2 linked regions of the Drosophila melanogaster genome follow. The protein of the gene in region 2 purifies or fractionates together with the protein of the main gene of each other region. This does not show direct contact. Each region holds a gene or a part of one and is shown on either strand. Other genes may lie near its edges. The genes, in order: par-1 and pod1.

Evidence for each region.
Region 1: the proteins of pod1 (region 2) and par-1 purify together in Drosophila melanogaster (affinity purification with western blotting, with the first as the bait; one study listed by BioGRID). This does not show direct contact.

Annotation. Positions count from the first base shown.
Region 1 is NT_033778.4:19,465,447-19,470,675, reverse strand, and holds the start of par-1 (par-1), read right to left. Parts: upstream 3,211-5,229; 5' UTR 3,035-3,210; exon of another isoform or gene 2,863-3,034; intron 1,887-2,862; 5' UTR 1,706-1,886; coding exon 338-1,705; intron 80-337; coding exon 1-79.
Region 2 is NC_004354.4:6,801,757-6,806,716, reverse strand, and holds the start of pod1 (pod1 coronin), read right to left. Parts: upstream 3,034-4,960; 5' UTR 2,951-3,033; intron 2,622-2,950; exon of another isoform or gene 2,540-2,621; intron 1,733-2,539; exon of another isoform or gene 1,711-1,732; intron 1,590-1,710; exon of another isoform or gene 1,468-1,589; intron 1,333-1,467; exon of another isoform or gene 1,242-1,332; intron 1,040-1,241; 5' UTR 808-1,039; coding exon 499-807; intron 100-498; coding exon 1-99.

The sequences.
Region 1 (5,229 bases), on a different chromosome or scaffold from region 2:
GTTTGTATTTGCCAATATGCTCCTCAGTAGCACGCCATCGCATAGGAGCACTACTCCGCATTTGCATGTTAGGCGAACCCTGTAAAAACAATGGTCAGGGGTAAGTAAAGTTATGTATTTTGGTGTGCATCAGGTGTCGGTTATAATTTATATATAAAACCCAACATTTCTGTGACAATCCTGATTTATGACCCTTTAAAAACCGCATTGCTAACGATTAATAGTTATATTAAATGCGATTTTAAACCACAGTGGTATTGCTTTCTCTGAACCAAATGATGAAAATTATATTGAAATATGGTAGATAAAAATGGATTTTGGTTTTTATCCCGTTTACCTGCGCAGCATTGTTGCTGTACACATTGCTGCGGTTTGCCACCACGCTGGGTACGCGGCTAGTGGGATGATGTCCTACAGGCGGGTGAGTTGAGGCTGTTCCTGACCTCGACTCGTGTCCCGAATGGGATCTTGGATCAACGCTGTGTCTGGTCGAGCTGGTCACATGCTCTGCTCGACTGGAATTGTACGGAGGAATAGGAGCCACAATCGGCCGGTCCGAACGTCTTTTCGAACTGGCTGCATTACTTCCTGTTCCCGAGGCACCAGATGCTCCATGACGATGTGAGGATTTTTGGGCCAACAAAGCTTCAAATTGTCGCAAATTCTCCTCACGCCGCTTAGACGCTGAAATGGTAGTGGCCGTAAGCTTAGATGGAGCCACTCCATCCACCACGCTGCTGCTGCTACCGCCACGACTGGCCGAGCCGGAGGTGGACGTGGTGGAGGAGGAGCTCCTGGCCGCCGGAGTGGGTCCAGTGCCAGCTGGTCGCCATACCGCTGGCTGTTTCTCGTCCTGCAAGTGCTGCTTCTGCTTAAAAGTGGCCCTCATGGCCAGCACCGTATCATTATTCTTCGTATCGGAGGCAGTACGTGCCAGTTTAGCCTTCACAGCATTTGCTCCGTTTGCGGCAGCAGCCGAGTTCTTGGAATAGGCTCCGATCGAGTTACGACCATCGCTGCCGCGCTGGAATTCCGATAACATCAGCTCATTGCTGTCATCCAGTTCTCCTGCCCGCCTGCCGCCCAAATACTGAAAATCATTCTCGGAGGACATGTCACTAATGCCCGGTCGCAGAAGGTTTTCCGTTTCACCGTAGCGCTTGCTCTGCTTGCGCTTGATCTCCAGTTTCATCACGTCCATCGATGATTGGGATTGTTGGTTTTGCTGCTGTTGCTTAAAGCTCTCCTCCACGTTATGGATGTGCTTCTCGATGGAGCCGAGGGCAAAGGACACACCGGCATCGTCTTCGGTGGACAGAAGGCGTGGCATTGGCGGCTTTTGGCGTTCTTTGGGCGTGGGATGCGGCTGTAGGGTGGGTAGAGCCGATACGGCTATCCTGGGCAATGGAGTGGCTTGGGCATCACGTCGTCGAAGCTCCACTATGCTGTCGTCTTCGGTGGCTCCATCGAGATCCTTGTTGGCAAGATGTGTTTGACGCAGTTCCATTTCCTTTTCCGTTTCCGGCAAGTTACTGCTGCTATTGTTGTTGTTGCTGCTGTGGTTGCTGTTCTGGTTACTAGATGGCGCCACACTGAGCTTGGGCGGCGCAGGTGCCGCCCCCTTGCGGGCGGCATACAGCCGGACACTCTTCCTGGTGGCATCGCCGCGATTCAAGTCAGGTGTTGTGGTAGTGGTGGCCTCCATAGCTCCTCCGTTTTGCTGCTGATTTCGGTTTTTCTGTTTTTTTTCTCTTAAATTTTTTTGTCGTGGCACTCTTCCCTTGAGTGTGTTGGTGCACAAGTACTTGTTGCTCGGAGAGATCGCAACTTTTTCTTTTTTCTTATTTCTTTTTCAAGTTGCGCTTGGCGTGTTTATTGTTCTTACACTGTGAGTTTGGGGAAAATTATTAAATTGGTCTTGGGGCTTCGGAAGTACAATGCAGCTCACACCGACAGGAGTAAGTGCTTGTGTGTGCGTTCGTTTGCATTGGGCTTTCTAAATTCTCAACGTTACTTTTGTTTGTTTTTTGTCGTCTAACCAACACACAACAAGTCGCAGTTGTTGCGCATTAAAACCTCGAAAATGAATTAAACACACAGCTAGCAACTTCCATTTCTACGTATGTACATATGTATGTACAGATGGGCGGACGGGAAGCGTGTGTGCGTGATATTTACGACAACAGGCGGACAAGAGCTAATCTGTCTCCCCGGTGACACTGAAATAAACACACGGCAGGCGATGTGGGGATGTGAAAGGGAGGGCAATATACCTAAACACACAATTACATACATAGCAAAAGAGAGTGCGCGAGAGAGAAAAGCGAAGTGGCACCTACACACCTGTGGTGGAGGTGAGCTCTTGTGCGTGTGTTTGTTTTCGGTCTCTCTCTAAATTGCTCTCTCCTATTTCTACTGCTGTTGCACAAGCTCAGCTGAGATGCCCTCGCTCTCTCTCGTGTGTGTGTCACGCTTTTCCTGTCCCCACCCCCACCCTCCTCTCCCACGCTCTCTTTTCAGTTTTATGATTCATTTGCCTTTTCGCTATTTTCCTTTGTTGCTTTTAATTACTGTCTAAATAGTTACGATGTGGAGATCTACAAGTATCTGAACAATTCGTCCGTACGAGTCGTTTAGTTGCTGGCTGGTTATATTCCATTTTTATTCGTCGCTGCTTCAGTGAGCAAAGCGAAAAGCTCCAATGCACACACACAGACACACACATGCACGGTCGCACCAACACATTGAAGCAAATGAACTACTTTTAGACAATTGAGCCGACTTTTTCACTGCTGAAAAACACAGTTAGGCTATATACATTGGTCGTTTGATAGTGTGTGAGTATTTTCTTTCTTTTTTTTTCACTTGGTCTGTGGACTATAAAAAATCACATTTCGCGCAAATCCCGATTATTAAAAGGTTCGTTTCGTTGGCCGGAGGAGTTCTTTAACCACACACGGTTATCTTATCGCAGAGGCACGCGGCTTTCGCAATTTTTCGCACTCATTTTACGTGGGGGTTTGGGTATTCGTACTAAATTATAGCTCCTCCTCTGCAACTCTGACGTAAACGTCGTCGACAGGCTACGACTACAACTATACGATTTACACCAACAAAAAACAGCAAAACACAGAAGACACCGAAAAACAAAGCTAAACAGGGCTCAGCAGCCAAAGAGCCACTTGGCCACTCAGCAACTGGAACTGGAGTGCCGGAGAGCGAGAGCGCGGAGTATTCCAAAAGCACGGAATCGCTTCGAGCAGCGACGTCGACTGCGGCAGCGGCGTCGGCCTTAATACACCAACACACCAGCACAAGCACACGATCAGTGGGCAGCTCTCTCCACTGGTGGAGCACTACTACCATTAATACAGTATCTCTATCCGTATCTGCATCTGTGTACTTGTTCTCCCACAAAGAGAAGCCCCGTTTGGAGCTCGAAAGTTTTGAGAGTGTATGAGTGTGCGAGTACCACTGAGCGTAACGCTGGGAAAGAAACTGTTAGCCGTGTTTGCTGCAGGGTTTAGTGTTCTGCGCATGTGCGCAATATATAAGTTCCACCAAGTTACGCAAAGCGCTTCTTCCCTGATTTACTGCGATTAAAGTAACATTCGGTTGGACTTTGGTTTTCTATTAAAATCAATCAATTACCCAATAAGTTCAACTGCTTCCTTTAAAGTTAATCAGTTGATTAGGTGATGCATTACGTAAGAGTTCTAAGTAATAAAACCAAAAGGACATGATGTCTGAAGTCTGAGTCGGAATTCTACGGTCGTCGCGAAGATTTCACTAATCAACTTCCCCCGTTCCCCTGTTTTACTCTATATCAATCACCAGAATACAAAGACCGAGGAATACACACAGTTTGGTACTAAAAATGCAATCCCGAAAGAACATTATTATGAACATCTTGTCGTCAAATAATTGTAAGTCATTTGTCAGCCGACACAATAAAATTTGTGAATAAAATATATAGAGACACGAGTGATACGACATAAACGAAACACATTAGGTATACTTAAAAATAAATAATCTGGAAAATAGAGAAACTCTCATTTTAAGATATCAAAAAGTGTCTCATATGAAATTCGATCATTCTGTCAATTTGTAACTCGCCAAGTTTGGTTTTAATTTATTCATACGAGGTATCAAGTAGCTGAGCCTGTATAAAGTGTCCGTATTAATTAAGCTAATTGAATAACTTGCAGCTTAATCTACATTAAGACAAGACAGCGAGATTTCAGTCAAGCCTTTCAGGTCCCAAACAAAAACATTAAAGATAGAATTTCATTTTTCGCATGCTAGCTAACAGGAAAATCTAATGAGGTCAACTATTATGAACTTGTCCTCCGGACAATGCAATCGTATAGTTATAGAAACAGAGAGCCCGTAATCCCTATAATCCCCTAATCTTTAAACGTATTTGCGTTGGGTTTTTATGTAGCACTTGTGCGATTAGACTGAAAATATATATTAGTTTCCATATGGATTATAGGAATTCAATGTGGGGTAACAAAAATCTGAAATTAAACAAAATCCGTAATCAAAATAATAGAAATCGTTATTCATTCGATTGTGGAAAAAAAACCAAAAACCGTGACAGATACAGACAAAAACGAAACAGCGATTACGATTAGATTGAATGAAGGTGGCAGCACAACAACGATAAATTTGCAATGTTCATAAATGAATGGGGAAGTGTGAGAGACCGACAAACTTTAATCACAACAAATATAACCTTATTGCCCCACTCTTTTGAAATGAAGTAGCAAGGTCAAGTGTAGTTTTGCTCAAGAGCCTAGGAAAGTTTCTAAATCACATAATTGCCAATATCGCAAGCTCCCAATATAAATCCTCCTATATCTTCTATTATATTAATTATGCAATAGTATCTAACGGGTTACCGTTACCGTCGATGGATTTCGATAAAATGTAAGCAACCATCGATAATATCGATAAATTTATATCCAATATTACATACCCTCGAGTTGCGAGCCTTGTCACTGGATGATGCCGACTCCTTGGCCTTGGGCCTTTCCGCCTTACTGGTGGCCACAATGGGCAAGCCGCCGTTTTCGATCATTGTCACCACAATCTTATTGTTCCGACTGCTTACGGTGCCACCACCACCACCGCTTGCGTAGGATGAGTTCGCCGCCGCAGCTGAGGCTGCATTTGTGGCCGCTAGATTCTTCTGCCGCAGGGCGTTCGATAGCCGTTGCTTGCGTT
Region 2 (4,960 bases):
GCCCACTGTCTCTACGCGTCTCTGCTTGTGTGAGAAGATTGCCTCCGGATCGGAAAGCGACTGCTCCAGACCTTTTTCCGGTATGTGCCAGATCTTGACCTGTGGATTGCAATGGTAGTGATTGATTAGCAGGGGGACTTTGTGTCATGTTGACTATCTAATTTGTGACTAATGTGATAGCGTTGCGATGAAATTATGGTTTCTGGTGAGTTATTAATATTAATAATAGCATATTATTGATTGTTCGTTCTTATCACACTCATAAACTCATTATAACATGCAACTATTTTATCTGTAGCTTCTGGTAAATAAACATTTAATGTTTGAGAAACGGAAAATACATTTTTATTAAATTAATAATATTGCAAAAATAAAACAAGAAAAAAAATATATTCTGAGTAACTCTATGGACATATCATTGGAAAGTAATGACCTAACACATAATATATTTTTGAAACATTTAGGGGTACTCCCAAATAATATTAAAGGATCTCTTACCAGGCAATCCTGCGAGGCGGTGGCCAGCAGCCCGTCGTGGAACGGGGAGAACTTAAGGTCCGTCACTGTGTCCGTGTGTCCATGGAGCAGCGGCATGGTCTTGCTCTTCCGGCCGCAGTCGTCCAGCGGGAGGACAGCGACGCTGGACCCGGTGTGCTCCCAGTTGAAGGCCATGAAGGCGCCGGAGGCGGCGATGTTGTTACCGTACGTCTGGTAGCTGCCCACGCAGATCTCGCGGACGCATGCCTCCGCCTTGGGCACAATGGGTGCGGCATTTTTGTACTTGGAAGCCTTGAATCGCCAGGCCATGGTTGGCTACTTGGTTGAGCTGGGAGGGCTTCGATCCGATGTGATGGCGATCCGATGCGGATGTGGATATGGATATGGACGTTCTCTGCTCGAGTGTAGAGAGTCGATTGTGGATTGTATATGCCCGATGCTTGATGCCTGATGGTCGAGTGTCACTAGTCCGGTGGCTCCCTCTCAGTCGCTCTCTTGCGCTTCGCTCTCCGCTCCGCTGCTCCGTTTCAGAGTTTCGTTTCTGGAAAATGGCAAAATAGCCGCATAAGTACGAGTATGATATCACTTGGGTGCGCGGGGGACATTCCACAGTTTGTTATCGTCTTGCCCGCCGCTCCTGACTCATCGTCATCCAAATCCGATAGGGCAAACAATAGCCGATAACCGAATATAAATAATAATACATTTAGCAAGTATGGATGGGGAAAAAAAGAGAGATGCACTTGCTATTGCGGCGATACGTCTATTGAAAAGAGAAAGCTGGACAAGAATGGTGTCCACCAAAGCCGGATGAGCCAGCCAGCCAACCCGACCAACACTCGCGCATTTGGCGTACGTGTTTGTTTGAGTATGTATGCGAATGTTTGTTTGTACATCATCAGGAAAGGCGAGGAAAAACACTGGGCAAAATATGATGAGTTCCGGCCGGTGGGGGTTAATTTGGCACACCTAAGGGTTAGTGATCCTCTTTTCAGCGTTATTTCTTCACTTTCTGTCAAGCTAAACATATATTTACTTAAATTTGCACTAATTTCTAATGTGTAATTTGCAAATATGAAGTACGTGTATGAACAACTGCTGAAAATGGCAACACAAACAGTATGATCCGAGCGGCGGTAAGGGTTAATATGCCACACCTAAGGGTTAACGATCCTTTTGATAAATTTCATGGAGAGTTTCACACACACATACCCTTGTACAAACACAACCAACTGGCTTGCAGTTTATGGATAAGCACAGTGAGCACTCTGTAAACTAAACATCACAGTGCAATGGCATCAATGAGCCTTTGGATCAAACAAATAAAATATTAGTTTGCGCAAAAATATATATTTTTCTACGTCTTTAGTTAGTTATTACTTTATTTTTATACTCTACTCTCTGGAGGCCGCACTGTGTAGTCTCCCGAGTGCAGTAAGCAAACGTCGAGAGAGCGAGAGCGGGAGGGAGAGAGCATGCGCCAATTCAACTGTTTCTGTTTGTTAGAAAGCGGCAAAACAAATGACCACTGGGGGTAAAAGGAGGTGCGGCTGGGGGACGGCCAAGCAGGTATTGGCCAGCGGAGCCACCAGGTAATGGGGTCAAGTGATTTAGAAAAGCAAAATCAAAGGCAATATAACGAGGTGATGTTGCAAAGTGAGAGCGAGACGGGCACAGGTGCAACCTGCAGGAGAGCTCAGCGGCTAACGGTTAACGGATGACAGCGGGCGGCGTGGGAGAGCACGAGCATCTGCATCCCTATCTCTCTCTTTCGCTTGGTTGGGGGTGGCTAGAAACAAGCCGGCTAGCATTTTTGTTGTTTTCACCCACTGCCCACTAAACACACACACACACATTTGCACTTCTGGTGGTTGGTTTTTGGTCACTTTGTTGTTCTTGTTGTTGCTGCTTATATGCATTTATTGACATTTTCACAAGTTTTCCATCCTATATTTTGCATACATTGCATTTGATTATTGGTTGTTACTTTCTAGTTTGCGTGCCATTCAATGAAAAGAGGGGTGAATTTATTTTTATATACTTCTTTTTTCGCTTTTCCTTCGTTTCCTTTTCCTTATTTTTTGCAGCACACACCCTGGCGCCGGCAGAAGAAGAAGAGGAAGAATCCAAAGCGGCGGCAATGACAATGACAACTACAAATGCAACAACAAAGGGTGCGCGCGGGGGTGGAGTGGGGAGCAGTAGCCGGAGAGGGGGTGGTGCAACTACACCAACAAAAACTGCGCAAAGGCGACGCCGCTTCTTTTTTTATGGGCAAACAAAGGAGCAGTTTTGCACACACACACACTCAGACGCACACTTGAGTTGCAGTGCTGCAACTGCACACCCACGCAAACATACACACGGGAGGAAAAACACGGCGATTAGGCTCACACACACGCGCCGGTGATTATTCTCCCGCTTGTAATTACAAATATTGCAATTAAATTACCAATGCAATCAATAAACTACGCGAGAGATCTTCAACTTTTTTTCAAACGTTTTGTCATCGTCTATCGATAGTTTCCATCTCCGCGTGCTAGAGGTGGCACCCATACATCGCCACAGCGCTATCGACAGAGCTATCGATTGCGATCTAATCGTCACTTTCTTCGTCACTATTTTCACATTGTTTGGGAAGCATTTTAGCAGCACTGCGCGACGGTCACCGCATTTTGTTGTTGTGTTGCGCGTTTAAAATTGTATTGTTATTTTTTATATTTTCTTTTTTTTGGACCGAATGAGAGCCGGCCAAAAGTGCAGTGCGAGTGCGATTGAATTTAAGTGAATACAAAGTGCGGATCGCAACACAACTTTATAAATATATGTACATATATGTGTAGTTAGAGCGAGACGGGGCGAAATATCAAATAAAAATACTGTACTGTGTGTGTGAGCAAATACTAATACTACTCAAGCGGAGAACGATGAAAATGTGCGTGTGAGAGGAAAAGAGAATTTAGTGTTTTTTATATTATTTACTGGCCTGCGGCTATGAGCAAAAAGAACCGAATATCATTGCGGAAAAAGGAGAATGAAAATTGCCAAGAGGGAAATCTGTGAATCCTGGCGGAAACACACGGCCTCATCATGAATATACTGCAGAAAATCGGTCAGTATTTCGCTCTTAAGCGCTCTCTTCGTTTTTTTTTTGGCGACTCCTTGGCTTTTCCTTCCAATTTCCACACAGTTTACCGTTTGCATTCGCCTCCATCGTTTACACACATTCCTCCGCCTCCGCCTCCGTCTCTGCCCTTCACCATCCTCTTGATCCTATTGCCACTATCCCTGTACTGCTCACAAAACCCGCGCCCCTTTATCCAGCAACGCCCCCGCCTTTCATTGTTGTTGTTCGTGTTGTTGCTGCTGCTGCTGCTCGTTTTGGGAGCTGTCAACAAGTCTATTTTTAGACTTTTAGATGCTGCAGTTGCATTTGCCTCTCTTCCAGAAGTGTTAAACATTGAAAGAACAACTCCAGAAGCGAACGCAAACATTTTCGTTTTCCTTTCCATTTCCTCTTCCTATTTTCATTTCGTCCCTCGCACCTCCGCTGCGCTCCCACACACACGAACACACACTCTCGTCTTTTTTTTCCTCTAAAATTCTTCCTAAATTTATATGGTTTGAAACCTGGATAAAAAGGCTGTCATCCTAATTGGAATTTATCCTCTTGTCGTCTTTACTCCATTTGTATAAACCATAGAATTTCACTCTGCATCCCATATGGAAGGAAGCTCCTTGAATATTTCCCGGAACTCTCCGATTGCATTTGACCTTTGTTTATCTGTAGAATTTTGTTTAATTAAATCATTCCGAAAATCCTTATTGACTAGAGTTTTTGAGGCACATCACTCATATACATATGTACATATATATATTTAAATCGCATTAAACATTTCTCGGAAATCCTGAACCGAATTTGGCCTCTGCAAACGTTATCCCTAACATTTTCCGCACAATTTGTGGGGCTTAGCAGAAAAGTAGGCAAGGATTTTACACAACGTTTTACTAGATTAAAAAAATCGAAATATTTTTCTTTTAACTAATAATATCCTACGCTTTAAAACCATATTAGTAAGTAAGTTCATATCCCCTCTCGATGAAAGGAAATTGGGCAAATGTGCGGTTTCCATGGAAATACGCTCTGCTGACTATATTTATGCACTTTCTGCCCACATATGAGAAGCACTAATTTTTGATTTAACTCTAATCACACACACACACATTACTTAATACCTGCGAATGGTTGTTTTCGTGTGGTATTTGGTATTTGATTTACCATTTTCTGTCTATTATTATCCTGTTGATTCCGACTAAACGCCAAGGATTTTGATTACCTGGAAAATGCACTTGCTCTAGGAACAAGAGTTTAGAACGCTGCGAAAGTGGGTGGTTAGAGGAATTGTGTGAAAATGCATATTAATCCTTTGCCCCGCTGACCCCATTGTCCACCCTCGTTTTA